Mus musculus: one gene and its partners. The protein of the gene in region 7 binds, or shares a complex with, the protein of the main gene of each other region. Links are inferred from orthologs where the notes say so. Each region holds a gene or a part of one and is shown on either strand. Other genes may lie near its edges.

Region 1 (4,050 bases), on a different chromosome or scaffold from region 7:
GGGTTTTACCAGCCCTGGCTGTCCTGCAATTTGCTCTGCAGACCAGGCTGGCCTTGAACTCAGGACACATCTGCCTGCCTCTGCCAGTGCTTGGAGTAAAGCTGTCCACCACCGTGCCTGGCCATATCAACTCTAATACCAGGCTGACAAGAAGGCTCACAGAGTGAGGGTGCATGCTTGCTCCAACCTGAAGACCCAAGTTCAATCCCCAGGAAGAATGTAAAGGTGGAGAGAGCCTGAGTGCTGCTAGCGCTGTGTTCCGAGGGTGTACACAGTGAGACTAGAGGTGGGGTGGGGACAGCTGTTCTCCCAGGCGAAGGCAGATGTACAAGATGCCAACTAAAGCCCCAGCAGTAGGCCTGGGACCTGAGCCCATGCATTCCAGGTCAGTTCTGCCTAACTCATAATCCCAAGCTCTCAGCCTCACCTTGGTTCCGATATTCAAAGAGACGAGGATCAGCGAGGATGGGGATGAGCCCCAGGCGGTGAGCAAGGATCTCATCCTGGACTATGGACGTGTTGTTATACACCAAGACCTTCTCCACGGCCATTGTCGGCACCTGCCCAAGGAGGCAAAGCAGACAACTGACCTCCACCCATCCCCCTGCCTGGAAAAGGAAGAGGCAGCACTTTTTCATTTTGCCCTTCAGATTCTTTTTTTTTTTTTTGGTTTTTTGAGACAGGGTTTCTCTGTATAGCCCTGGCTGGCCTGGAACTCAGAGATCCACCTGCCTCTGCCTCCCGAGTGCTGGGGTGCTGGGACTAAAGGCGTGTGGCTCAGATTCTTGATACAATGTTTACTATGTAGCCCAGACTGTCATAGGTGTGAACCACCCTACCTGCCCCAGAGGGATGGCTTTGAGAAAAGCGTCTACAAATTGATACAATTTCTACCCTCCAGCCCACGTCCTCTAATACCTCAGCTAACAGGATTCTCCGGAAAGCATTGGCGATGGCAGCATCAATCCCCACCATGTCGAACTCCAGCGTGTCTTCATCCATTTGCACCACGTCCACACGGAAATTCTAGAAGGAGGGAAGCTCCTGCATGACTCCTGCCTGGCTCCTACCCTGCACTATCCCCTCACCCTAAAGTCATGGTGCTCAGTAGACATTTTGTCTCCAGTCCTGTTCTTGGGGGCAAGGCTGTGTGTTTCTTGTTTTTTAGGTTTTTCCAAGGCCAGGTTTCTCCATGTAGTCCTGGCTGTCCTGGAACTCTGTAGACCAGGCTGGCCTCAAACTCAAAAGATCCACCTACCTCTGCCTACCAAGTACTGGGATTAAAGGTGTGCGCCACTATGCCCAATCTTCCCAGATTTTCCACAAACCACCCAGAGAAGTTACTATACAAAAAGCAGAACTTCCCACACTACTTAGACCGTTTGATACTTGCATGTCTGTTGTCGTTATTTTTTAATACCTACTTTTCTCAACTACATTCCCTTGGATTTTGAACACCAATTTCCTTATCTGCTCTTCTTTCTAAATTTCCCCTTCCACCCACACAGTAAACGTTCCTGTCTCCTAGGTTCTAATCCCCTGGCTGACCTCCACCATGCTCCTGGCTCAAGCAAGCACATAGACTTCACAAGCAGGCACCTGAGTGTACCCTCATTCTTGTTCTCCTGCTTGGCAAACGACACAGCCAGCAACAGTTCCCCAGTGCCACTGGAGAAATGGCTCAGCTATTAAGAGCACTTAACTGCCCTTGCAGAAGAACTGGGTTTGGTTCCCAGCACCTGGTGGGACCTAACATTCTCCTCACACTGCAGGGATCACTAACACACAGTGGTGCACAAATACACATGCAGGCAAACACGCATATCAAGAAAGTTTTAGGGTCCTCAAGTTACAAAGTCCTTTCTCTCACACACTGCCTCCCCAGAGCACTGGTGCAAATCGTCTAGTTCTCCCTGCCTTACTCCGTTAGTACTGTCTGGAGTTCATCTATGCCCCCAATTTCAGCCTGCATACACTAGCTGGCAGATTCACCAGAATTCATTCCCTCCTGGCTATCAAGATTGCAAAATGTTATCAGTCTACTCAAAAATTCTAAATTGGGCGTGGTGGCTCATGCCTTTAATCCCAGTGCATGGGAGGCAGAGACAGAAGCAGGTAGATGGCTGAGTTCAAGTCCAGCCTGGACTATAGAGAGAGTGCCAGGGCTAAACAGAAACAGTTTCAAAGTGAATTTTAAAAAAATCATATATAATGAAGCTCCAATCAGGCCTTCACTACTCAACTTTTATTCATAGTTCAAAGCTTAATTCAAATGCCATTCCCTTCACTGACCTTTAACTACGTCCCTTCAGTTAGCTGGATTCAGTGCATCAATGATTCCTGACCATATCCCAGCCATCTTCACCGCTATCTTACTATTCTGGAATAACTTGTCTGTGTGGTCCATTATCCCACCGAGAGCAACCACCGTGTCTGACCCGTCCATGGAGCTCAAGCGTGTTGTATGGAAACAGCGACCCCCACCCCAACCTGCGAGGTCTGGCCCCTCGGGCCGACTGGGCACCTTCAGCTCTACCCACCTTCTCGAAGCGGTTCTGGTCCCAGGCATCATCATAACCGGCGTAGTTACCGGGAAAGTCCGTGGTGTGGACCTAGAGCCAACAGAAAGGGCAGTGTGGCCAGCCTTCACACCAGGCCTCTACTTCCCCGTGCCGCCCTCATCCTTCCCGCGCCCCGATCTCTTACATTGCGAACCCCAAACTCTCCGAGAACCACGCGAGTCCGCATCTCCTCCACCGCCTGAGCCGCCGCCATCTTCCGCCACTCGCTGTAAAAGGAGGCGAGTCCGCGCCTGCGTCTCCGCAGCAACGCTCGGGCTCCCGCAATCTTGAATGTCGCGAGATCTTGCCCCGCCTCTGTCCACGTCCTTCACTTCCGGACGTCAAGTGGGGCCAAACATCCGGGTTTCTCCCTTCGGCGTCCCGGCGGATCCCCACCTTGCCCGGGCGGTCGCCCCTCTGAACCTCTCCCTCCCTCGGACCCGGGTCGCACGCTCTTCCCACGCGCGCGTGCTCCAGCGACGGGAAGCCTCGAGGGACATGGCGACTCCGGCGGCGCCGGCCAGCGGCGTCCGAAATGGTGCTGGCCCGGAATGGGGAGGCTTCGAAGAAAACATCCAGGTATGGAGCGCGCCTGCTGCCAGCAGCCCCGGGCTGGCGGCGTCCGGACGGTGGCTGCTGTTCTCTCTCGCGGGGCCTAGAGGTCGGCTCCGCTGAAACGCAGCCTGTCCCCTTTGAGTCTTCCCGGGGAAGGGTGTAGCTCTTGTGCTGGCGTGAAAGGGACAAACTAGGGCTCCCGCGGGCCTCGGCTCTCTGTGGGGGCTGGAGGCTAGGATCCACTGGCACCCCCTAAAAATAGGCTTGTTTGAGAATTGGGAATGGCAGATGGGCTCTTTTGCAACTCTTTGGAGCTTTGAGGTGGAAAGTAGGAAAACAACGTGGATTGAAAATAAATAGTAGGGTTTCCAGGACCACAAAAGTGACGCGACCAAGAGTTGCCACCACTGAAAGAGTGGCAGTTCCAAGCCATGTCCTCGGCAGTGGAAGATCAAAGCCTCAAGTTGTCAGCTGAGCGGAGAACGGGGAGGATGCAATGGAAGGGCCCCTCACTCTCCGAGCCGTTGTCTTCACAGGGTGGGGGTTCGGCTGTGATTGATATGGAGAACATGGACGATACCTCAGGCTCCAGCTTCGAGGACATGGGTGAGCTGCACCAGCGCCTGCGGGAGGAAGAAGTAGATGCTGATGCAGCTGCTGCAGAAGAAGAGGATGGGGAGTTTCTTGGCATGAAAGGCTTTAAAGGACAACTGAGCCGGCAGGTAGCAGATCAGGTAAGCCAATGGGGAAAAAAAAAAGGACCTATGCATGTCCTAAATTGATCGAGGTTTTCCACTTAGACCCACACGTAAATCTCGCCGAGACTGAATAACAATCTAGAGCCAAGAGTCTCATCATACCCATTTCCCTTCAGATGTGGCAGGCAGGGAAGAGACAGGCTTCCAGGGCCTTCAGCTTGTATGCCAACATTGAC
Region 2 (2,774 bases), on a different chromosome or scaffold from region 7:
AGATCAGAGAAGACTTCAGGAGTCACTTCTCACCTTTTGCAGTGTGGGTCCCAGGGCTTGACCTCAAGCCTCGGGCTTGACAGCAAGTACCGTCCCATAGCCTTTCTACGTTGTGTTTTGAGTCAGGGTATCTAACTGAACCTGGGGCTTGCTGACCTGTGAGTTCCAGAGCCCCTCCTGTCTGCACCTCTCTCATGGGGTCTCAGATGCCATGCCCAACTTTGTCTGTGGGTCCTGGGGATCTGAATTCCTGATCCTTGTGCTTGTAAGCCTGCTACCTTACCCAGTGAACCAGTTCCACAGCCCTCTCCCTGGGCAGAGGCAACAGGTGCTCACATCCCTGGCCTTCATGCCACATGGGGAGTCTGCTGGGAGCACATGAAGCCTGGCACAGGGAGACAGAAGAGTATTCCTGCTTCTCCTTCAGGCACGGCTGGAGCGAGATCTGAGCAACAAGAAGATTTACCAGGAAGAAGAGATGCCAGAGTCCGGTGCAGGCAGTGAATTCAACCGCAAGCTTAGGGAGGAGGCGCGCCGGAAGAAGTATGGCATTGTCCTAAAGGAGTTTCGGCCTGAGGACCAGCCTTGGCTACTCCGTGTCAATGGCAAATCAGGACGGAAGTAAGTGATGCTAATGGTGGGAGGGGCCAGCCTGTGTCCCTCCCACATGCATACTTTGGAGGCATCTTCTTTGAGTCTGTAGCCAACAGGATGGTGGTCCCAGTACCACCTCCTTGATAAAGTTTAATCTTGGAGGTAAATCAACTAGATACTGTTGGTCTGGCTCAGCAGCCTGAGTGTGGCCTGGAGATAGGGCCCTGACCCCATGGGCGAGGATACTCCATTGCAAAGAAGGTGGAGTCTGATGGAGCCAGTGACGAGAGTGCTCTATGCATAGTTATTCAGTGAACCAATAGCTGGAGCCTACACAGTGTAAGGCCCTCAGTAGCCATGGGGGATTATAGGCTGGGAGCAGGATACACAGTGCAACATGGCCCAGAATCTGGTAGCAGATGGTGGCCACAAGGTGGCAGGGTGATGTTTGTGCTAGGGAGATGGTAGCACATGCCCTTCTGTCCTAATCATTCCTAGAAGAGCCCAAATGGGAACTGTAGAGAGGGTGGAAGGAGTGCAGGTGGGGTGGGTGGGACCGTGACCTAACCTAGGCTCTCCACAGGTTCAAAGGCATTAAGAAAGGCGGGGTAACAGAGAACACAGCCTACTACATCTTCACACAGTGTGCTGATGGTGCCTTTGAGGCTTTCCCTGTACAGAACTGGTACAATTTCACACCACTGGCCCGACACCGCACACTCACTGCTGAGGAAGCCGAGGAGGAATGGGAGAGGTGAGCCAAAGGTGGTTGTTACAGCTGTGTACGCCCTCAGAGCAAGGCTGCCTGGAGTACTGCTTAGTACTTGCTTGGGCAGACCTCTCTTGCTTGAGTCTTGCCTGGGAGCTGAGTGAAGGCTGGTACCACAGATATGCACAGCCTGGGGGTCCAGGGAGGGGCCTCCTAATGGCAACTTCCTCAGTTCTAGCCTGGGAGGTAGAGACAAAGGCGGGTGCAGGGAGGCTGGGATTGAGAAACTGGGGATGTATAGCATGAGATACCTTGTACACCTGCTGAGGATGGGACCTGTGGGCCCAGAAAGGGCTTCAGGAATGCATGTGGTTTGTGGGGTTGCTCTGTGCTTGCCTACAAGTCTGGACCAGTTCTCAAGGGGCCGGGACTGCAATGTCAAAAGCAGCTCCTCCTCCCACTATGCGTAGTCTTCTTCCGGGCATGCATAGGTGTGGTTCATGGACGGCTCCTTGTCCAGTGAGACCCTGCCCCTTCTCTAAGTAATCCTTGAGATAAATTAACAGTGGGGGGTGTGGGTGGGGGTAGTGTATGCACACATTACCACACAGATGGCAGAAGCAACAAGGACCAGGCATTCAGGTCCATCTTCTGTATTAAGTTTGAAGCCAGCTGTGGTTATATGAGATTTGGTTTCAAAACACCCCAAAACTTGACAGACACAGTAGTACACACCCTTAATCTCAGCACTTTGGTGCACAGGCAACAGGATCTCTGAGTTTGAGGGGTGGTTTATATTCCAAGTTACAGACCAGCTAAGATCACACAATGAGATCCTGTTTTAAAAGGAATTTTAACTGGGCCAAGCCTGGTGGTGCACACCTTTACCCCAGCACTCTAGGATGCAGTGGCATGAGAATCTCTGTGAGTTCAAGGCCAGCCTGGTTTTCATAGTGAGTTCCAAGACAGCTAGGACAATAGAGAGAGATCCTGTTTCACCAAGAAAACAAAACCAAAAACCAAAAACAACCGAACAACCCACCACCTCCAAAGCCATAAAATGTTATTTAGCTAACCAATATAATGGCTGGATATGCCTGGAACAGACCCTGAGTTTGGAGGAGCTAAGATTTGGGGTCTCCAGGGGGCTTAGGTGCACATGGGCCTGAGTCCATCTCAGGGCTCACCCTATATTGTTTCAAGATTTGGGGGTTTGAAATGGCCCAGGCTGTATGCCCTGCCTCTTTCTCTTTCTGTTGCATGTGGTGTGGCTCAGGCTAACTACCCTGCCTTAGCCTCCTTTACAGTGTTTGTGCCTTAATGAGGTTATCCTGTCATGCCCATTTGTCCTGTAAAGAAGGGATGCCCATTTGAGTGTATCGGTCATTATCTTCTACCATCCTCTTTGCCCAAGGAGCTCTTTGCAGTCCCCTACTCCCCACCATCCTCTGCTACACAAAGTACATAGTCA
Region 3 (4,296 bases), on a different chromosome or scaffold from region 7:
CTGTTATGAGAAGCAAAGAAGAGACTTTAATAAAACACGAAGCATATGTGTTGTGGAGAATAAGTATTCACTGACTGTCAGTTGTCAGCATTAGTTCTCGTAGTAATCTTGGAATAACAATGTGATCACAATGAATTCAGACTGAGACATAGGTGTTGGGGCTGCAAAGGGGAGACAAGGAAGTCTAGCAAGATTATGGGGGGGGTACAGTACTTTGATTACAGTTAAAGTTTTTTTAAAAAAGGAGTAAAAAAGGCTGATTGTATGTTCATGATATTAACTTAGTAGACTACCAAAGTGTGTCAGGTGATAGGCCTGAGGCTGGAAAAGAGGAAGGTTGAGGAGACAATTCTGTCAGACTCCTTGTAGACTTTCTATCCCCTCCACCCACTCATCCCCTCAATCACTCTTCAAAGTACTCTCCCTTGTCTACAGATATGAAAACCGAATCTAAGGCTAGTGATACAACTCAGAAATAAAGCTAGGTGAGACTGTGGACAATGTATCTCAAAATACCATATGGACTTTTTAATGGTTTTGCTATTTAAGTCTGATAAGGGCTGGAAAGATGGTTCAGCTTTAAAGCACTGACTGTTCTTCCAGAGGACCTGGGTTCAATTCCCAGTACCCACATGGCAGCTCATAACCAGCCATACCTGTAATACCAGAGGATCCAATGCCCTCTTCTGGTTTCTGGGTCTTACAACATTCCCCTGACTCAATGTAGACCAGGCTAACTTCTCAAGTACTAAGATTAAAGGTGTGCACACCACAGTCCTGTCTATTTGGTAGCTCTCCTTTATCTAAGATATATATCTGTGTATTTATCTAACATAAATACTCAAGCACAGGTGCTCTAACACACACCTAGGTGGGAGAATTACCATGAGTTTATGGCCAGCCTGGGCTACACAGAGACTTCCAGGCCAGCCTGAACTAAGAAAGGTAGAGAGAGAGAGGGAGAGATGAAGAGAGAGGGAGAGAAGGGAAGGGAAAGGAAAGGAGAGAATAGGTTTTCGTTTTTCCTGTTACTTATAACCCTTTGCTGTATTCTCTGTTTTAGTCAGACTTAGTCACTGTGACCAAATATCTGACAGAAACAATTTAAGATTTATTTTGCACTGGGTATCTCAGTTTCTATCTGTCATGGTGGGAAAAACAAGGAAAAGTGCTGCAGCTCACTCCACAGTGGCCATGATATAGAGGAGATACAGAGAGGGCCAGGGCAGCCCTAAGAACATACAGCCAGAATCTACTTCTTCCAACTAGGCCCCGCCCCACTACCTTTCACTACCTCCCAGAGAAGTCACATTATAAATCCACCAACAGAGTAACTAATCCCTTAATTAGATCATAGCCCTGTGACCTACTTTGCCTCCAGAAACAGCACCAGAAACACCCAGAGGTGTGTTTCATTAATCGCCCGCCGATGAAACTGACAGGACTAACTCCTACCCACTTTAGTTTGTGTCTCTTTGACATACAGCCTTTTCTTTTTCTTTTTGGTTTTTCGAGACAGGGTTTCTCTGTATAGCTCTGGCTGTCCTGGAACTCACTCACCTGCCTCTCCCTCCCGAGTGCTGGAATTAAAGGCGTGTGCCTTTTCAATTTCTTATATTCATCACATATTGGAAAAGTAATATGTGCCAAACACTAATCAAAGTGCAAAGAAAGTGACTTGGGGGTAGGGGCATCAACAATAGATACAGACAGGTACAAAGGAGCACTAGAAACTGTTCAGGGGTTTGAAGAACTTAACATAGTCTGCTGTGCTGGCAAACGACGAGAGCTGTTTCAGAGAAAAGGACAGGAAGAAACACTTTGTCTTGATGAGAACTCAGCCATGGACTTAAAACACTCATTACAAAGATAAACCATTTAAAAAACAAGTTTGGGAAACTTTCATGATCCCATTTAAATATGGTTTTTCAGAATGAGATTCCCCACAGAGCCTCCCACCCCATATAAAAAAAAGTGACCCGAATAGATGGCGACCACTGGGGCAAACGAGGTCTGCCGCATGACCACTTAAAACATTTACTGCTGGTTGGTTTCATGAATCCTAAACTCGCTCTTTAAAAACACGAAGTCAACAACTTCTCTTTGAATTCAGAACTTCTAGGTCTTTCGAAGGCTCCAATTGAATTACCAACCCAGGCAACACTAGCCGTGTAAAGCGACAGGAGTCTACATGGCGAGTTCCAGGCTAGCCAAGTCTACACAGAGAGATTGTTTCAAAACAACAGAGTACACAGGGACCAGCTCCACTTTGTGGTCCAGAAAACTGTACGGAATATCTATTCAAGTAATTTATACACGTTCATAACTAAAGTTAACCTTACCAAAAAGAAAACCGCAAGGACTTTTCCGACCTGGGGTAAATGTACTGCCCACTCGGGGACCACCGGGTCAGGACTCCAGGAAGGCCAGGTCTTGGCGGTAAAGAGAGTTAGTTCCATGGTGGGCGGATGAAATTGAGAGACGGCCTGAAAGACGCCCTGTGTCCCCTAAAGTAACTTCTCCAACCTGCAAACGGACGCAACAGCGACCCGCTTCTCAGAACAGCGGTGGCCCGAGCAAGACGGACCCAGAACTTTCGGAAGCGCCCCGCGGGGCTCGCGTCTCACTCACCTTGACCAGCCACACGCCGGTGTTCTGTTTGGCGCCCGTCAGATCGAGTTCCCCGCGCTCCGCCATGAGCTTGTCGCGTGAGGAGGCGTGCAGTGCGCGCACAAGCAGTGGTCCCGGCGCTGAAAGGCAGAGAGCGACAGTCCAGAGCCGGCCAAGGGAGTAAGTAGACCGCGAAAAGCCGGCGTCGCACACAGCCCGGGAACCAGGAACTTAGATGAGAAGAACACGCCGCCGAATGAAGAACTGCGCCTGCGCACGACTACGTCAGGACAGCGCGCCGAGAGGGACAAACTTCCTGCTCCGGCAATTTCCTAGATGGGCGTGACTCCCGGCAACGTGCAATCTTGGGATTCGAGTGCTGGGAAAGGAAGAGCCTAATCCTGAACCGTGCGTTTACAGCAAAGGTGACAAAGTGGAAAGATTAAGGTTTAGACAGACAAAAGCTGTGTGTATTTATACCCAACCCTAGATAAAGAAGCTAGGCATTTTAAGGACAGACTTGGGGGTAAAAAAAGTCACTTTCTTGGCCCAATTAACATTGGCACAAGTGGGCACTAGAGTACAAGTGAGTATGCTGGACACATGCCTTTTCGAGGCATAAAAATCAATTCACACCGTGCAAGCAGCATACACTCTTTCAGACGCCGAAACCTGAATGCCATCTAATTGAGTTGGTAAGACCCACCATGTAAGAAACAGATCTGATTATCCAACTGCCCTGCTTAAACAGTTTCCGGTTGCAGGATATTGGATCACATTATGAGCCCTGAGATTGTGAACTGGAAGAATCTGTTAATAACTGTGGCTCAGCCTTTGATCCTAGAACTTTCTGTTTACTGTAAACAAGTATAGGTAGCCTGGCTCACCCCTACCTAGCGCGCACATTAATCCAAGAGCTAAATAAAGTCAACCCTAGATCAGGCGGCAGAGCAAGTAGCCAGCTGACAAGAGAGTGAACATGAGCAAGAGAAAGGAGAGAGTTTGAGGTGAAGGGTATTTAAGAGTGCATGAAGGAGAAGGGGCTTTTCCTTCTGAGAAGTCGGTGGAGTGGGAAGGTCAGCTGAGTACTTTTTCTGCCTCTCAGAGTTAGCAGGCTTTCACCGCAGCTTCTAGCTCCTGAGTCTTCATTTGGTAATTTCCTCCCCCACTTGCCTTTGGAATGAAATTCTACCCTGTGCTTCAACTGAGTCCTTTGGGTTTGATCCTTCCTATACTCTCTGTTCCACACAGGATTCCACACCAAGCCCATCCACCTGCTTGAAGACTCCAGGACCTTCCTCTTACCATTTCAGAGCCTCTTTCAAACCAATTCCTGTGCCTTAGATGCCCTGCTTTCCCTGATCTTTACACTGGCCCTGTCCTTTGGCAAACTTCTACTTATAAACACAGACAAGTGGAAATGAAATAAAGACCACACAGAAAAGAGAGTCCCCCTAGATAAAGTTCTGTTTCCCCATATGATAGTGTGTGATGCTTAACGCTGTACCATGAGAGGCGTGTTTATCTTTGTTTTCTACACTACTGACTGAACTCCTAGACAAAAGTACTGTTTTTGCCCCAGATTTGCTGAAGCAGAATGGACAAATACAAAATAGTGTTTTATTCATTTTATATGCACAGCACCCAGCACAGTGTTTGACATACTGTGGGATGTCAGTAGGCTTT
Region 4 (4,256 bases), on a different chromosome or scaffold from region 7:
CAAATACTGACAAATAATTTCCTGAGGTAAAAAGTTTCAGTGTTTTCCAGTGTATAGACTCAGACTTGTAACTTAATGGCAATAAATGACTTAAGTATTTCTATAAAATACACATGCATACATACATATATGTATACATACATATATACGTTATTATATATACATACGCACACAGAGACAGAGAAATTATCCTCCCCAGCTGGCTCTAGCTGAGGATATAGTTCAGCTGATAGAGCACTTGCCTTGTTTCATGGGGCCCTGGGTTAAATCCTCAGCACACACAAATTTTAATTACAAGCATAACTCACACTTGAAGCTCACATTATATACTGTGTACCAGTGCTCTAGAAGTTAGAAAGCATATTTAGGCTCATTGAAGAAGGAAGGGGGAGAAGGGGGAGGGGATGGGAAAGGGAAGAAAAGGGAAGGAAAGGGGAGGAGTGGAACTGCTATAAATTAAATGGTGTGTTTTAAAAACCAGTGCCCTCTTATTAATTAAGAAAGCTGGATTAAGGTATTAAAAACATCTATAGAAGCTGGGCATAGTGGTTGCACACCTTTAATCTCAGCAATTAACCTGGAGCAGAAGCAAGCAGATTTCTGTGAGTTCAAGGCAAGGGTCTACATACAGAGTTCTAGGACAGCCAGGACTACATAGAAAGACACTGGAGGGGTAAAAGTGTACAGAAAATTCCTGATTTAGGAGGTAAAACTAAATGATCATTCCCGCTCCTCCCCCCCACCCCACCCCCAGTTATAAAACTGTAGTTTTATAAGCATTTTTAAGCAATCTCAACACAACCAGAACACAAGAACCACCAGTTGAATCACCATGAATCTTACAAAAAGTCTTTTCTCTTCCTAGCACTCTGCAGCACGGTTCAGAAAAGCTCACTCTTGCCCCTGTGAATGAATTTCACACTAGTGTTCAGTCAGGGGGGAAAGACCACTCTACAGAGGCTACTTCCAATGATAACCCTTTCATACACTGAAAATATTTTAAGTTGAAAAAAAATGCATTCAATCCATCTTTTGTACTGAACATAAATGCCTAGCAACCTGGTACACAACAGCATATCAACTGTGCCTTTGTGATATCGACTGGGAGCTCACGGCAGCTGCCTAGCATCATTAAAGTACTAAGTCACTAGCCTAGCAAAACAGCGTTAACCTCAAGTTCAGTTTTTACTAAGTATTGCTTCCACGTACATCTTCAGGAAAGCCGGAGCATCCTAACTGGTTCCACACACACTGAGTTCCTTGATTAAATAACAGGGAGATGGAGACTGGAGATATAGCTTGCTGGAGGCAAGTGGCAGTGTGACAGGTTCAATCTTGATCCAAAGGGATTTAAAAAAAAAAAAAAGCACTCATATGGAAAACTCACTGTGAACTTTATGTAAGAAGAGTCGAAGAGTCCCTGGTCTAAGAGTAAAACATCTGCTCCTCCCAGTTTCAATTCCTAACATTTGAGCAAATAATCTACAGAACTGCTCTAAATGTAGTTTCCTCCTAGGTCTGGGGAATGGGGCACTATCAGTGTTGTACATACTTGGCTCAACTCTAAAAGTGAGGAAGTATTTATGAAAGATTTTTTTTCAAGAGTAATTGTTATTTTGGTTGTATTAGGTAAGAAATTAACATTAACTTAATATGCAAGTGAGAGAGGTATGAGTAGGGAAAGCATGAAAATAAGAAAAAATTCACAACGTGAGAAGACTGAGGAAACAGGCAGTTTGCAACTCCTAAAACAGGAACATTTTACTTCATAAGGTCAGATGACTAATCTGGACGTCAAATAAAGACTTTAGGACAGATCAAACCTGTACAACTTAGAAAAACCTAACTACATAATGCCCACAAGTCTGAAAGACTAAGCATTAGTGCTATGGCTAATTTTAACACATAAAACCTGAATAGAAGTGGCACAACTAAGTAAGAAGTCATGTGTCCCAGCCCTGGAACCCTAGCAAAGCTTTCTGAAATAAGAGAGACCTCTCTATATGATGATACCAACAAAGGCACCCAGAGCAAGCGGTTTACTCTCCGGAGTTCCAACTAACTTTTCCTCCTTTTGCAACCAACATCTGTACTGCAGTGCACATCTTAGGGCTAACCTGGGTGGTAAAGAAACTATATCCACGTCTACTTTACATTAATCTGGTCAATCAAAAGCCCCGAACAGGATGTTACGACCGAGAGCTGGTACGTTTCACGGTGGATAGCTACCGGAAAACTAACATTTCAAATCTTCAGGCTCCACTGTCCAGTTCTTTCCTACCCCAGAATCTGCAATCTTCCAGCAGCCTGTCTGTCTACTCTGTCTCTCGCTTCACGGCTCGCCCCCGAGTACCGGAGCACATCAGGAAAACGGAGCGCAGAGTTCGATCGGGAAAATACCTCTCGACTCCTCCGAAAACTCACAACCTCAAAAAGTTTAAAGCAGCATTAGAAAAGCCAGTCGGGAGGGGACGCCATGGTGGTCCCCCCAACTCCACACAGGGATGAGCTCGGCTGCTGTGGTTGTGGCCAAGAAGCGGTCGGCACCATCCGCTCGCCCACCCGGAATCCTTCCCGCTTTCCAACCCGAAAGTTTGCTGTATGGACGTCCGGCCTAAAAGACAATGCTGGCTGGGGCGAGCCCCTCCTCTCGGGGGCTCGGCTTTGGAGAACGGCTCGGCGGCGTGGCGTCCACGCGCGCGTCCCCTCGGAAGACGCGTCCCGCTTCGGGGCAGCCGAGTCCCACGCGGGACTCGTCCCCCTTCGCCCGCCGCCGCAGTCCCTACCTCAGCGCCCGCAGCCCGCGCCGCCTCCCAGCCTCCGCCTCGGCCGCACGCACGCACGCACTCACGCACGCACACACCCGCCCACCGCGGGCCCGCTTCCCGCCCCCCGCCGCCGTCGCGGCGCGCACGCCCAACACGGACCTGCCAAGGGGGTCGAACCCGAGGCGGCCGTGGTGGTGGCGTTGGCGACACAGCCCCGGCCCCGCCCTCCACTTCCTGGTGCGGCGGCTAGGACGCTCGCTCCCAGCAACCACCGCGACGCCGCTCCGAAAAGGCGCCTGCGTCACGGCGTGCTCCGCCCCGAGTTTCCATGACGACCGGAGCGCGCTCAAAGGCTGCCGGTAGCCACGTTTACTCTACCAGCTCTGCTCTAGGGAAGAACGGAAAGCCGCTTTTCTTGGCACAAAGTCGGAGCAGCTCCTTCAGCCGGCTCTGGAGTCTAACCCAACCGGCAACATTACCAATAAATCTGTCATATTTTTTGGAGGGTGGGTGGTTTTGGTTATTTGAGACAAGGTCTTCCTGTGTTGCCCTGATTGGCCTGGAACTTGAATTAAAGTTGCAGAGATCGTTCTGCCTCGGCCTACCAAGTGCTGCTCCATGCCAAGCTTTTTTATTTTATTTCAAATACCACTCACCAGAACCACCTTTAACAAGTGGCGGGGGGCTTGGGGGTGGGAGGGACAGTCTAGCAAAGGCAAACTCAACATAGAATTCAACTTCTGGACTTCAACCTCAAAACTTACAGCTCAGCTTCTGCGCTTCGAACACCGGCTCTTTTCATACCTGTGACCTGTCTTTGATTTTTTGGGGGACAATATAAGATGTGGGTGCGATATTTGGCAACAACAACAAATAATAATAATTGGCCCATCCTGCACCCTACAACTATCCTTGTTTGTACAGCCTAATCCAGTATTTAAATATCCCATAGCTGTAGTTTATTAGTACTAATTACTTTGGGTCTTAGTTTTGTATGTCCCGCCCCCCCCCCAACATAGGATACTAGTGATGATGCAGAAACTAACTTTGTATAACTAAATTTTTGTCAGGTCCAAAGGAGAGTCCAATTCTTCAAACTTCAAATGACAGTCCGAAGATCCACTAGTTAACTTAATCTGGACTATACGAGGAGTTCTAACAACTGACAAAAGACGGCGGCATTCCTCCGGAACTTGTGAAGCTCTAGTTTCTGTCTAGGAAAATGACTCATTTCCCTTTCCTCCAGCAAAAGTGACTTATGGCTCTCCAATTAACATGTCAGCACAAGGTGCAAGCCCGGCAGCCTCCAGACTCCCTCAGTCCCTACAAGCACTTATACATTTCAAAGCCTGCTCACCAGTCCCCTGGCCCTTCCCACCCGCCCACCGATTACTCATTCTTCTTGTTCACTCTTCTCCGCTCCTGCTGCTGCTTTTCTCAATAAGCTTCCCCTATTTTCTATCAGTGGCCATTTTCCCGTTTCTTGTA
Region 5 (4,135 bases), on a different chromosome or scaffold from region 7:
GTGAGGGGACGTCCCGGGCATGCTTGTCTGGTCCCAGCTGACTTGTGTCATCAGACCAGGCCTTGCCCCTGTGGCCAGGATACACAGGAGTAAGGAACCCTGTCTGCTTCCTGCATCCCTAGGTCTTTACCCTCATCCCAAGGGCTACAAGAAAAGGACATTTTCTGCACCCTACATCCACACCTGGTCCAATGTATTCTTGAAGGAGCATTCCAAGGGGTGGGGGTGGGGATGGGGAGAGGCTCTGGGGAGGCCTCTCAGGAGATTCTCCCCCACCAGTGTAATAAGCAGTTCCCCTTGCCTAGCTCAGGAAGGGAGGGAAATGACGTACCCACCCAGAAGGGCAATTCGGAGGTTCTGGCGGAAGACGGGGTTCAAGATGAGGCCTTGGAGTCCACCAGGGAGCAGCTGGGTATGCCAGATACGGAGGCCACTCAGCAGCCCCGTACTTTCCTCCTGAGCCCTGGACAGAAGCAGAGTTGAGTGGGGTATCACCAATAGCAAGGAGACCTCCAGGGAGCTTCATCTATCTCCTCTGAACGGGAGGCCCTTGGAACAGTGTCGCAGGGCGAAGCTGTGTTTCTCACCTCAGATACCTGCACTGCAATGCTAAGGAGAACCTAGTTCGTTTTGATTGTTGTTGGTTTCTCTGTTTTGTTTTCTAAGTCAATTCTTTTTTTTTTTTTTTTCCTTTTCATTTGTTTTGTTTCAGGAAGGGTCCTATGAAGCCTGGGACAGCCTCAAACTTACAATACATCAAACTTACGATATAATCCTTGAATCTCTGGTTCCCTATCTCTACCTATCAACTTGGGGTTGGGGGAGTGCGGGGGCGGCTTTTTCCCCTTTGTCTTTTTGTTTGTTTGTTTGTTTTGTTCTAGTTAGCATACAGCTAAAGAGACACAACTCTCCACAGTGGAAACCTCTGCAGGTGTATTCTGGAGGGTTTTCCTTGTGTAGGGCAGGCTCTGTTGAAAGGCCCACATCTGATTCCCCTAGCTCCTCTGTGTGTGCACCCTGCAAGTGTTCCAAACAAAAGTCCTTTGAGAAATGTGGCTGTTGGGAAGCTCGAAGCAGCTGCGCCCGCCCGGGACTCACTTGCTGAACTCCTTCTTCACCCACAGGGCCACCGCAGCCTGTGGTAGCGGCTGCTCCAGAAAGAGCATCCTCATGACCCAGTTCTTAGCCAAAGAGGGGAGCTCCCTGTAAGGTTCAGAGGCCAAATGTTATCAGAAGCCACCTCACACCTGCATCTCTGCCCTCATCTGCCTGTGGTTTAAAAAAAACAAACATCCCAACTGCTCAGAGAGGCAGAGAAAGCACCCAGCTGACCTTTTTTTCTCCAATGACATCCCAGAAAGAAAAAGCTCCCTCTCCGAGAATTCTCCACACTGTCTTAAATTCCCTTCAACTCAACGTTGCTAATTTCTGTTTACTTGGTTGCTCCATCTCTTGACCTACGGTTGACATTAGCCCTTGGCTAAAAAAAAGGTGTGTGCTTAGGGCTGAGCCACAATAACAAGGTTTTTCTGGTTCATAATCTTGGAGTTCACTATGTGATCAAATACCCTGCAACCTCTGTCTCTCAAACGTCTCATGCCATCTCCCACGTCCTTAGCAGTCCCACTGTCCCCACAACCTCTTTCTGGTTTGGACTGACACACTTTGGAGTAATGTCTAACACCCTGGTACTCACGCTGGGCTAATAAGCCTCTCCCCGTGCTAACTAATTTCAGTCTGCAGGCCCCATTACATTCTCCAAACATCCCCTTTGCTCTGAAGGCTCCTCACCTGAAGACAGCCAGACAAGTGGCAGGGTGCCCATACAATCGGTCCAGCACCCCAGGGCTCAGGCCTCCTAAGAACTCCTGGAGATTCCTGCATTGTAGGTGTGCTCGGTTCAGTCCACCCCTCGCCGGGGTGATCTCCATCACCTGAGAGGGACAAATGTCAGAACTCCCACATGACCCAGGCCTATATCACTGACTCCAGATCTATTAGGTTCACTTTCTGTACTTTCCTGTCTGATGCCACTTATCACCTATTCCTCCCAAACCCCTCGTGTCCTGCTTCTTTTCTTCATTATGCAGCTCACAATGGCCTTGAATTTGCTATGGAGCCAAGGATGGATTTGAACCCCTGATCCATCTGCCTTTACTTCCCAAGTGGCCACCAGGCTTTTCATCCCATATCTGCCCTTGAAGTTCAGCCTTTGTTCAGTCTCCAGGAGGTGGAATTAGTCTCATTTTTGTGTATGGTCCTGAGGATCAAATCCAGATCCTCACCGGTGTGGACTGAATTACTTATCGTTTCATACTTGCGAGTGTTTTGCATATCAATGACATCTCAAGTTCACCTAAGCATTGACAAAGATACTTATTTGAGCCCAGGCTTCTCTCTCTTGTCCACCCTCCTGGTCAGATCAGTCCAAATGGGTCAAATCCTTAGCTCTCATCTGGGGACACGGCTATAAACTGCCTCATGCTTACCAACCTAAATCCCTTTCTATCCCTTTCCCTCCAGCCAGCCTTACCCCTCTCACTGAGACCCACGCCTCTGAGCTCCTCACATCTCCCCGACTTTCCTTTCACTCCGCTTCTCGCTCAACTCTCTCCCTTACCCTTCTCAAACCCCCTCACCACTCGGCTCCCCCTCGCGCACCCCGGGTCACCAGCCGTCGCCTAATCAGTGCTAATGTCTCGCATTGGCTCCTGGAAATAAAGGATGAGAATTCTAAAAGGTGGGAGAACCACGAAGAACTTCACAGACAGGACCCAGTCAATAAGCAGTCCAAAGAGAAGGGAGAGCAGAGAAATGTGTCAAGAGTAAAGGGGGTTAGAATAGGCAATGCACTCGCCTGTCGCAAGGCATCTTGGGAATTGTAGTCCTCTTCTAGCCTACATTGGAGACTATGAGTCAGGCTCTGACTACAAATCCCTAAAGGCACCGCAAGAAGGCCGGCCGAGAAAAGGTGGCTTTTCATTGGGATTCCCTAGAAACATCCGAAGTCAGACCTTTTGATTCCGCGCCTCTCTCCCCTATACAGCAAGGTGAATCTCTTGTCAGATCAGGAGGAGGCAGCAAACCTGGAGGAGCTCCGGGGCCTCCTATCGGAGACGTACTAAAGCAGCTTAGTGGTGTTATGTTAGATGTAGAGACCTCAAACTGGGTTTCTTTCTTTCTTTCTTTCTTTCTTTCTTTCTTTCTTCCTTCTTCTTATTTTTTTTTTAGGTTTTTCGAGACAGGGTTTCTCTGTATAGCTCTGGCTGTCCTGGAACTCACTTTGTAGACCAGGCTAGCCTCGAACTCAGAACTCCGCCTGCCTCTGCCTCCCGAGTGCTGGGATTAAAGGCGTGCGCCACCACACCCGGCGACAAACTGGGTTTCTTGACCTCTGTTGTTCCTCACGAAACTGAGATAATGATCAGTGCAGAACATCTTCACATGACGTGGATCAACACAATTGCCCTCATTTGGAGCTCAATCAATCAAAATGTCTATGTGAAGTCAGATTCCCTGGAACTGGAATTACATACAGCAGTGAGCTGTTATGTTAGTGCTAGGAATTGAACTTGGGCCCTTTGGAAGGACAGCCATCTCTCCACCATCCTCCCACCTGCTCACTCAATCTTAATCTCTTCCAACTCCCTGGGGAGTTAGAAGATTACATTGCAATTTTTAAGAGAAAGCTATCATTTGCCCTGATTTGATTTATGAATTTATCCTAGGCAAGACAAGGGAAAGGGAAAATGACATCAACTAAGGTCATCTGTAGGGTCTCCAATTCTTATGGGGGCAAATTCTGTTATTCTTACATCACAGGCTATCAAGCTCAACAAGAATAAGAGATCTGAGCCGGGTGTGGTGGCGCACGCCTTTAATCCCAGCACTTGGGAGGCAGAGGCAGGCAGATTTCTGACTTCCAGGCCAGCCTGGTCTACAAAGTGAGTTCCAGGACAGCCAGGACTATACGGAGAAACCCTGTCTCGAAAAAAACCAAAAACAAACAAACAAACAAACAAACAAACAAAAACAGAATAAGAGATCTGCACAAGAAAGTCCCAGTACCGAGATGAGAAACACATTTACCAAGGGCAAAAATGGTAAGGCCATGTAAGGACTTGATTATGCTTTA
Region 6 (3,581 bases), on a different chromosome or scaffold from region 7:
TGCACATCATATTTAACTGTCCTTTTCGTTTTAGCTATAGGATCAAACGTCAGAAAATCCACTTCCCCAATTCCAGTCAACTTTACTACTTGACAGGTTAAAGTGTGCATTTCATCTGTTGAAAAACAAAACAGTTAAACACAAACGAGGCCACAGTAATATACATATTTACAAGCTATCTTTACACATCTGCTTTGTTTGTAAGACAGGGTCTCGATATAGCCCATATTGGCCTTGAACTCATGACTCTCATGCCGCAGCCTCTGGTGTGGAGGCTGAGATTACAGGGTTGCAACACATTACCCAGGAACCTTTTATTTAAAACATGATGTCATGCATGAACTTTGGGAGCATTTTTGAATAAAACAATACTTTAAAAAATGAGGCCAGTGTGGAAATAGCAATGGGCAAAATCTTGGCAAGGCCTACTTGACACCCTAAAACATGTATGTGCGATACACAGTTGGGTCTCATGCAGACAGGCACACACCAGCTTTGTGCTGCCCCATACATGTTCCTCATCTGTGTCTCTACAAGGCACACTCACCTCCTTACAAGGTCAACCTTCTCCAGGAACTTGGAGAACTCTGATGGCTGAGAGCTCTTGGTTAGATGCTTTGCTTTCCCAAAGAAGTTCTGCATTCAGCATAGGCTGCGCCTGCAGCTCAGAGGCTGAGTAACGTGAGCTTGGGGACCTGAAACCCTAGGCCCTGTATTCAGGCTTCTCAGCAGCAGCCACATGATTAGCCACACAGCTTCAGCCTCTTCACCTTTCTTCCTTTAAGGACAGGATTTTTTTCTGTCTAGCTTAGGCTTGCCTCAAACTCATGATCCTCCTGCCTCAGCCTCTTGAGGTTTGGTATAATTATAGGCATGAGCTCCTTTACCTAGCAATATTGTCCTTTCTTGTTATGAGAGAACAGAGTGAGATAAAATAAGGTTATACAGAAGTATACTTTGAAAACTCTAAGTTATTAAACAAATTCCTCAGTGGCCTACATAGAAGAGGTGCAGCACAGCCTCCTCTAACAGAACGGACAGACACCACACGGGTCTCATCCACAGATCTCTTTCCTTCCAGGGAGCGCACTGTGCAGGAAAAAGCAGATTGTGGAGTCCTGTCACTTGGACCAGCTCCATGTGACCTCAGAGGTGTTACACTAAAGTATGAGCTAGCACAGTGACTTCTTGATGGTTATGAACATTACATGAACGAACCTGCCTAAAGCACTCAGGCCAGCGTTGACTGACACCCGTCCAATCTGGCCTCTCCACTCCCGAGTATCCTTGTCTCCCTCCCTCTGGTCATAAGGTGTAATCAGTCACCTCAGGCTCCTGATGGCATGAACCCATTAAAACTTTTAGCTCCCATCTCCAACAGGTTTCAAATGTTCCCAAAGCCTGCAGTGTTCCTTGCCTCTATTTACACAGCTCTTTGGTCCCTTCACCTCAACAGTTCTTTCCCCATTTCGCATCACAAGCTTCTCTTGGTTGGTTCTTAGGTCACAGGTCATAGCTGTACCAATAGTTTCTAAGGAGACCTGTGTAACACCAGCAGGCTTTCCCAGTCAGACCTGCCTCCATGCTAAGGAAGCTCCACCAGAACTCCTAAGTGAATGGCTGGTTTGTAATGTGAATCCCAACAAGCAAGGATTGTCACTATCTTGGTTTATACTGCTTTTCCTCACCTAGGAACTATACTATACTAGAAACTCAACAGAGGCCATCTACATCAGAGTCAGGCAAGGGGAAATGACATGCATTGTGATAACTCAGCAATAGTCACTCTAAGACTGAGCATGGGGACTGACACCTATAGTCTCAGCACTCGGCAGAGGCAGAGGCAGAGGCAGAGGCAGAGGCAGAGGCAGAGGCAGAGGCAAGGATCTCCACGAGTTCAAGGCCAGCCTGGTCTATATAGTGAGCTTGCAGGCTACACAGACATACCCTGAGTCAACATTCTCCCTCCACAAAGAAAATACAAACCAAACCAAACTATCAGGCAGACAATAAAAGTCCTAGGCTTCTTGTATTTCTAGTTCAGTATGAAATTCAGGACTGGCTCGTGTCACAGGCTGTACCAGGATTACCTGACACGTGTGCTCTGCATGAAGTGGCTAAGGCTCTCATCACAGTCCTCACTGCCCTAAAAAGCTCACTGTGTTATCTACACTGTTCTCCGTGGCTTGGGAAACTGGAATGTTACCAGGCTTCAAGTACCATGTGAGGAGCCTCCAGGACTGCTGTAGTTGTTCTGAATCAGGTCTCCTTGCTACCTTAGTCTGGTCTTGAACTCTGGGTCTTCCTCCTCCACTCTCAAAGGTTGACATCAACTTTGGCTGATAATTTTGTTCTTAATTAGAAGCCATTATGCAGTACTAATGTTCTCAGGTGGACAGAGCAGCTTTCCCATGCATGTCATCAAAAGCCCATACTGAGACAGTCTGCCTGCACTTAGTCAAGTTGCCACAGAAGCCACGGAAGTTCTCCCAAGCATAAATCACACAAAGATAGAAATTTGTTTTTGAGCAGTGTCCTTTTAACTGTGTTATATGGTGTGAATTACTTTAAGAAAGCATTTGATCTAAGTTCCTGTTACTATGAACTCCTTCAGGTGGCTTAGGCAGTCTGCAGCTGAAAGAAAGGCCCCACTGGTCTGCTAGCATAACTTTGCAGCCAAGCCTCCTCCCCACGCACCCCACAGCTCACCAGGGAGATTGACCTCCAGTAAGTATTTCATACACAAGGTGTTGGGATGGAGGTAGCAGTCTTCCGTTATGTCTGGGAAACGAGGCAAATCTAAAAATATGGCAAGTTCAATCATGTTTTTATAGATGTCTTCATAGTCAGGCCAAGACTGAAATTTTAAAAAGACAGAGTAAGATAGTAATCTTTGCAATATTAATTATTTAATCATTTTCTTAAAATTATTTTAAAGATATTTTCTGACTTAAAAGTGTATGTTGAGGAGGGGGGTGGCTAGAGAGATGGTTCAGCAGTTAAGAGCATTTGCTGCTCTAGCAGAAGGCCAATGACCAGTTCTCAGCACCTGCTTCAGGTGACTCCACTCTGAGAGAGCCAACACCCTCTTCTGGTCTCCATGGGCACCTGCACGTACAGGCACATATAATCAATCTTTTATTAAAAGCAGTATGTGGGTTGGTAAGATGGCACAGTGGGTACAAGTGCTTGCTACCAAGCCTGATGCCTGAGTTCAACCCCTGGGACCCTCCTGATGGAGGGAAAGAACTGGCCTTGGTAAGTTGTCCTATGTGGGCCACATATGCCATATAACATGTGCACTGTGACACCTGTACCTCCCCTACAAGATATACAAACAACTGGAATAAAAGTACTATACAATTATAAGGTTGAGTATGGCAGCACACACCCTTAACCTCAGCATATCCCTGTGAACTCAAGGCCAACTTGGTCTACACAGCAAGCTCCAGGCCAGCCAAGGCTACACAGTGAGATCCAGTCACATGAAAAAAGGATTGCGTATTCATTAAATAAAATTTAGAATACCGAGAAAAATGTTAAAGATCCTTATTATTCAAAGTTGGTAATTTTATTGATCG
Region 7 (4,265 bases):
GGGCAGGGCTGCCTAGCTGTCGGGCCTGGGAAGATTCTGGAAACAAGATCCTCAGGCATGGGCAGCAGATAGGCTCACACAGCTGATGGGCTTTAGGACCCAAGAAATTCGTGAGGCCTGTGGCCTTGGGCGTACTCCTACAGTATCTGGGTTTGGTTGGGTGGCACAAGCCGTCCTTTAAACTCAACACTCGGGAGGCAGAGACTGATCTCTTTAGTTCAAGGCCAGCCTGGTCTGCAGAGTTGAATTCCAGGATAGTCAAGGCCAAACAGAGAAACCCTGTCTTGGAAAATGAAAGGTAAATAAATCTGGGTTTGATTCCCAATACCTGATGGCAGCTTATACATTCTATAACTTTACTCTCAGGGGATCTGGCCTCTGTGGGGACACAGTGATACAAAGACTTATAAGCAGACCAAATACCCAAATGCATAATAACCCTAGCACAAGGATTGGGACCTCCAAGCACGCTCAGCATTCCAAAGGAATATTGTCACCAGGCTTGGGCCCATCCATACCTGTGGATGGTGTGGTGCCCACATCCATTATGCCCATCCTGAACACAGGCAGGAAGCGGAGAGGCCCTAAAGCAATGTGGTACAAGACTACTGTAGGGCTACCTCGTTGATCAAAGTGGTCAAGGCCCCGGGGAACGGAAGCAGGGTACTCCTCCACAGGACGAGACTCCCAGTCAGATGAAGGGGAAGGAGACCAGCCCTAGGGGAAAGACTGGAGGCAGGCCAGGTAGCCTCAGAGACAGCACAGACATGGACATGGAGCACCTTGGAAGTTAGACCTGTTGGTGGTTCTGCAAACATCTTTACTAAACAGTTCCTTCCAGGGTAACAGGACTTAGCCACAGGGCCACAGCCAGGCAATACACCAACATCCCCAATAGCTCAGTTTGAACATAGCACGACAGGCTGCCCGTGGCCAGCAGGAGACAGAGGAGGGCAGGCTCCAGCGGTCACTTCTCTAGGGGTGCATAGTTCAGCAGCTTCTCAATCAGGTCCACGTGTGCTAGCAGCATGCGGCGGCAGCAGTAGCGCTTTAGGCCCAGAGCGTCCAGGGCATCCCTGTAAAGAGAAGAGTGAGGCTGGATGTGGTCTCTAGAGTCTGGATAGGTTTGGAACCACCTCCAGCTTGCCTCTGGGTATTCGTGTGGATAGGGGTTACCAGAGCACATCTACATAATCAGCGATTGAAACCTGACACCAGGCCATAGGGAAATGGCCTGGAGATTTCTGAAATATGTATCTAGATGCTCAGGGAGGAGCCAGGTGACCCTTTCCCCACCTAGAAGTTACACCTGCTCATGTGCCAGTCTTCTCCCATAGCATCCTGTATCCATCCTTAACAGCCTTCTGCCTACACCTGTTTTTTAAAATTTCGTTTTATGTGTATGGGTGCCTGATGCTCCCAAAGCCCAAAGGAGTTACGGACACTTGCGAGATACCATGTTGCTTCAAGGAACGGAACCTGAGTCCTCTTAAAAAACAATCAAACAACCAAACACACAAAACAGCCAGTGCTCTTAACAGTTGAGCCATCTAGCTGGGTGTGGTGGTGCACACCTTTAATCCCAAGCACTTGGGAGGTAGAGGCAGAGGCAGGTGAATTTCTGAGTTCGAGGCCGGCCTGAGCTACAAAGTGAGTTTCAGGACAGCCAGGGCTACACAGAGAAACCCTGTCTTGAAAAACAAAACAACAACAAAAAAAACAGTTGGGCCATCTCTCTAACCCCCTGTATCTCTGCGTTTGTCTCTTGTACCCAGGGTTATGGGCTTCCAGGGTTATTTGGGAAAGCTTAGGAGACCAATATCCCCTCATCAAGGAGTACAATTCCAGGCCCCACAGGTGGACTCTGACTAAACGCCATGAACTGGTTGTTGCTACCCCACAGGCTTTGAACTCACACTAGATTTAATTTCTCTGGGACCTAGACAGCTTGAGAGGTTCCTGCCCAAGTGAAAGAGGGTCCCAGAAGGCTAGCAGCTACTCATCAGAGCTGATCTAATAGCTGCTCATTAAGCCCCACTGACTTATGGCTTGTGCAGAGAAAGAGAACCCCTTGGTGTTGACATGGTGGCCAGAGGTCTATTTTGGGGGACAGTCATAGTAGTGAGCACAAGACGATGCCCACAAAGCCTGTCCTGCATTTTAAAGGGCCCACGAGGTTCGAAGTACATAAGGGGTAGGTCGGAAAGCAGATAGAGGATAGAGAGTAGGTCGACAGGGAAGAGACTTGAGGTGTCACCCACGGGAAGGATGCTTAGAAGTTTCCCAAAGGCCAGCAACTTGAAGAAAACCACCTTCCAAACTTCTGAGAGCCTGGGCGTGATATTGCACGCCTTTAATCCCAACATCCAGGAGACAGGCAGGATTTCGAAGTGTTTCAGACCAGACTGCTTTACATAGAGAATTCAGGTCAGCCACCGAAATCCTGCCTCGAAAACAAACTAAAGACTCACTCTTCTGGGAATACATCACAGGTCTGGGCTGGAGGACATCCAGTCTTCTCACTAGACCCCACAACCCCTGCCCTGCCAATTCTCCATAGGAAATCTTATCTACCCCCGGCCCAGGACACCTCAATTTCACTCCCGGTCCGCCGCAGAACCCTCCCCATTGCCCCTCGACTTCATGCCCCCAGTCCAGCCTTCCCGTCCTGTCCCATCCCCCGCGGCCCGCCGTCTCACCCCTCCGTGTACTCGGCCTGCAGCAGACCCAGGTAGGCTTCCCATTTGTTGCCGACGATCTTCCCGCAGGTGAAGCAGCGCACCGGGATGATCATGGCGGCGTCTGGCGTGCAGGCTGCCGGCAGTAGCTTTTCAAGGCCCGCCCCAGGCGCGCCCATAGCGCGGGGCTCATTACGCCCTAGCTCCGCCCCGTAAGATCCAGAGCCCCGCCCCGCATCTCCCTGAATCCCGCCGCAGCCCTGCCCCGGCTCCCATGATTACCCTGAAGCGGCGGTGTTCCTTGCTCGTGCCCACCCGGGGCTCCGAGAGCCTCCGAGCCCGCGGCAGCATCCCGGTCCCCCCCCTCCCGCTGTGGTGGTAGATCCCGGCGCTACGGCGTCCGAGCAAGGCCGAAAGGTCCGCGGCCGGCGGTTCGCGTTTCTCGTGTTGCCTTGACTGACAGCTGCTCCGCCGTGCGGCGGCGCGCACAGGTACGGCGGTTCTAGCGGGCTGGGGTCCCGCTGGCCGGATCGCAAGCCGACTGGAGCCAAGAGGTGGTTAACAAGTGGTGGTGGCGCAGCCGGAGAGCGGGCTGCCGACTGTCCACGGCCAAGGCGGTCTTCCCGCCTCCTGGCCCGGACTCCAAGGGGTCTCGGTCTGGAGCCCTTACCCGAGGTGCCCAGGCAGAGTCCGGGCCTTGGAGTTTGGGGCGTCCTTCTCTTCGGCCGCTGCAGAACCGTCGGCGGTACGGTGTCCCGAGCCCCGACGGCGGCCTCCCGCGCTCAGTACAGTCCTCTCCTCTGAGAAGGGTCTTTTCCTGGGGAGAGGAGCAGGGCGGTGGTCCGGGAAGGCGTCATGGAGGAGGCACCCTATGAACAGACCTTCTAACCTCTTTTTCCCGGGATATTTGGCTCAGACGCGGAGATTGCGTGCGAGACTGCTAGTGGCCACAGGTCTGCCTCACCTGGACGTGACTTAAGGACTTAAGGGAATGGGCAAGGAGCTGGTTTCTGGGGAGTGTATCACCTTGGCCGCCTTCTTGTGTGTTGGGAGCTACCCTTAGGAAAACGAGGCAGCTTGCAGTGAGAAGCTGGAGAAGTTCGATAGAGCTTGGGAAGTTTGAGATCTGGTTACAGTGAAGGCTCTGGGGGGTCCTAGACATTTTCCAGGTGCCTCTGGGAAACAAACGATGGAGGGGAGGTCGGGAGGGGTCTCCTGGGTCTTGAGTGTGGCTGGTCGGAGCCACTGGCCAGCTTGGTGGTTGTGCCCCCGATGTCACCCTGGACAGCCTCCCTGGCAGCTTTTGCCATCCCCCATGGAGCCACGTGCAGAGCCACGAGCTAGGCGACTTCCCGGTCCTGTCCCCTCCCCCCAACATCCTGCCCTGGCCAGAGGGGGCAGTGGGGGCCTGTGAGTCACTGTGGCCTGGGATCAGGCTCAAGATCTGGACTGAAGACTGCTGGTGGCCAGAGGTGAGGGTGGCAGGGGAGTGGGATAGGAGATGGTCTGTAGGGTCTGCCCTAGGGGATGGGGTGGAGGCCAAAGGCTTGGAGGAGGGGCTCTCAGTTCGGTCCGGCCCCTGGAAGA

The links.
Region 1: Polr2l (region 7) and Polr1c share a complex: the UniProt entries of both Homo sapiens proteins name them as parts of the pol I pre-initiation complex. The link is inferred for Mus musculus from reciprocal best matches to the Homo sapiens genes POLR2L and POLR1C.
Region 2: Polr2l (region 7) and Gtf2f1 share a complex: the UniProt entries of both Homo sapiens proteins name them as parts of the TBP-based Pol II pre-initiation complex. The link is inferred for Mus musculus from reciprocal best matches to the Homo sapiens genes POLR2L and GTF2F1.
Region 3: Polr2l (region 7) and Gtf2f2 share a complex: the UniProt entries of both Homo sapiens proteins name them as parts of the TBP-based Pol II pre-initiation complex. The link is inferred for Mus musculus from reciprocal best matches to the Homo sapiens genes POLR2L and GTF2F2.
Region 4: Polr2l (region 7) and Gtf2e2 share a complex: the UniProt entries of both Homo sapiens proteins name them as parts of the TBP-based Pol II pre-initiation complex. The link is inferred for Mus musculus from reciprocal best matches to the Homo sapiens genes POLR2L and GTF2E2.
Region 5: Polr2l (region 7) and Gtf2h4 share a complex: the UniProt entries of both Homo sapiens proteins name them as parts of the TBP-based Pol II pre-initiation complex. The link is inferred for Mus musculus from reciprocal best matches to the Homo sapiens genes POLR2L and GTF2H4.
Region 6: Polr2l (region 7) and Taf1b share a complex: the UniProt entries of both Homo sapiens proteins name them as parts of the pol I pre-initiation complex. The link is inferred for Mus musculus from reciprocal best matches to the Homo sapiens genes POLR2L and TAF1B.

Annotation. Positions count from the first base shown.
Region 1 is NC_000083.6:46,245,189-46,249,238, forward strand, and holds the start of Polr1c (DNA-directed RNA polymerases I and III subunit RPAC1), read right to left. Parts: upstream 2,858-4,050; 5' UTR 2,776-2,857; coding exon 2,707-2,775; intron 2,613-2,706; coding exon 2,541-2,612; intron 1,027-2,540; coding exon 919-1,026; intron 561-918; coding exon 428-560; intron 1-427. Other genes in the region: protein YIPF3, read left to right, coding at 3,060-3,140, 3,653-3,850, 3,991-4,050. UniProt on the Homo sapiens protein: DNA-dependent RNA polymerase catalyzes the transcription of DNA into RNA using the four ribonucleoside triphosphates as substrates.
Region 2 is NC_000083.6:57,005,560-57,008,333, reverse strand, and holds part of Gtf2f1 (general transcription factor IIF subunit 1), read left to right. Parts: intron 1-427; coding exon 428-621; intron 622-1,177; coding exon 1,178-1,348; intron 1,349-2,774. UniProt on the Homo sapiens protein: TFIIF is a general transcription initiation factor that binds to RNA polymerase II and helps to recruit it to the initiation complex in collaboration with TFIIB. It promotes transcription elongation.
Region 3 is NC_000080.6:76,008,049-76,012,344, forward strand, and holds the start of Gtf2f2 (general transcription factor IIF subunit 2), read right to left. Parts: upstream 2,818-4,296; 5' UTR 2,698-2,817; coding exon 2,632-2,697; intron 1-2,631. UniProt on the Homo sapiens protein: TFIIF is a general transcription initiation factor that binds to RNA polymerase II and helps to recruit it to the initiation complex in collaboration with TFIIB.
Region 4 is NC_000074.6:33,730,660-33,734,915, reverse strand, and holds the start of Gtf2e2 (general transcription factor IIE subunit 2), read right to left. Parts: upstream 2,850-4,256; 5' UTR 2,787-2,849; exon of another isoform or gene 2,242-2,786; intron 1,335-2,241; exon of another isoform or gene 1,210-1,334; intron 1,191-1,209; exon of another isoform or gene 844-1,190; intron 730-843; exon of another isoform or gene 1-729. UniProt on the Homo sapiens protein: Recruits TFIIH to the initiation complex and stimulates the RNA polymerase II C-terminal domain kinase and DNA-dependent ATPase activities of TFIIH. Both TFIIH and TFIIE are required for promoter clearance by RNA polymerase.
Region 5 is NC_000083.6:35,670,895-35,675,029, forward strand, and holds the start of Gtf2h4 (general transcription factor IIH subunit 4), read right to left. Parts: upstream 2,850-4,135; 5' UTR 2,662-2,849; exon of another isoform or gene 2,621-2,661; intron 1,935-2,620; 5' UTR 1,932-1,934; coding exon 1,792-1,931; intron 1,204-1,791; coding exon 1,099-1,203; intron 464-1,098; coding exon 332-463; intron 69-331; coding exon 1-68. UniProt on the Homo sapiens protein: Component of the general transcription and DNA repair factor IIH (TFIIH) core complex, which is involved in general and transcription-coupled nucleotide excision repair (NER) of damaged DNA and, when complexed to CAK, in RNA transcription by RNA polymerase II.
Region 6 is NC_000078.6:24,543,547-24,547,127, reverse strand, and holds part of Taf1b (TATA box-binding protein-associated factor RNA polymerase I subunit B), read right to left. Parts: intron 2,858-3,581; coding exon 2,710-2,857; intron 116-2,709; coding exon 1-115. UniProt on the Homo sapiens protein: Component of RNA polymerase I core factor complex that acts as a GTF2B/TFIIB-like factor and plays a key role in multiple steps during transcription initiation such as pre-initiation complex (PIC) assembly and postpolymerase recruitment events in polymerase I (Pol I) transcription.
Region 7 is NC_000073.6:141,472,329-141,476,593, forward strand, and holds the start of Polr2l (DNA-directed RNA polymerases I, II, and III subunit RPABC5), read right to left. Parts: upstream 2,826-4,265; 5' UTR 2,795-2,825; coding exon 2,700-2,794; intron 1,077-2,699; coding exon 968-1,076; 3' UTR 1-967. UniProt on the Homo sapiens protein: DNA-dependent RNA polymerase catalyzes the transcription of DNA into RNA using the four ribonucleoside triphosphates as substrates.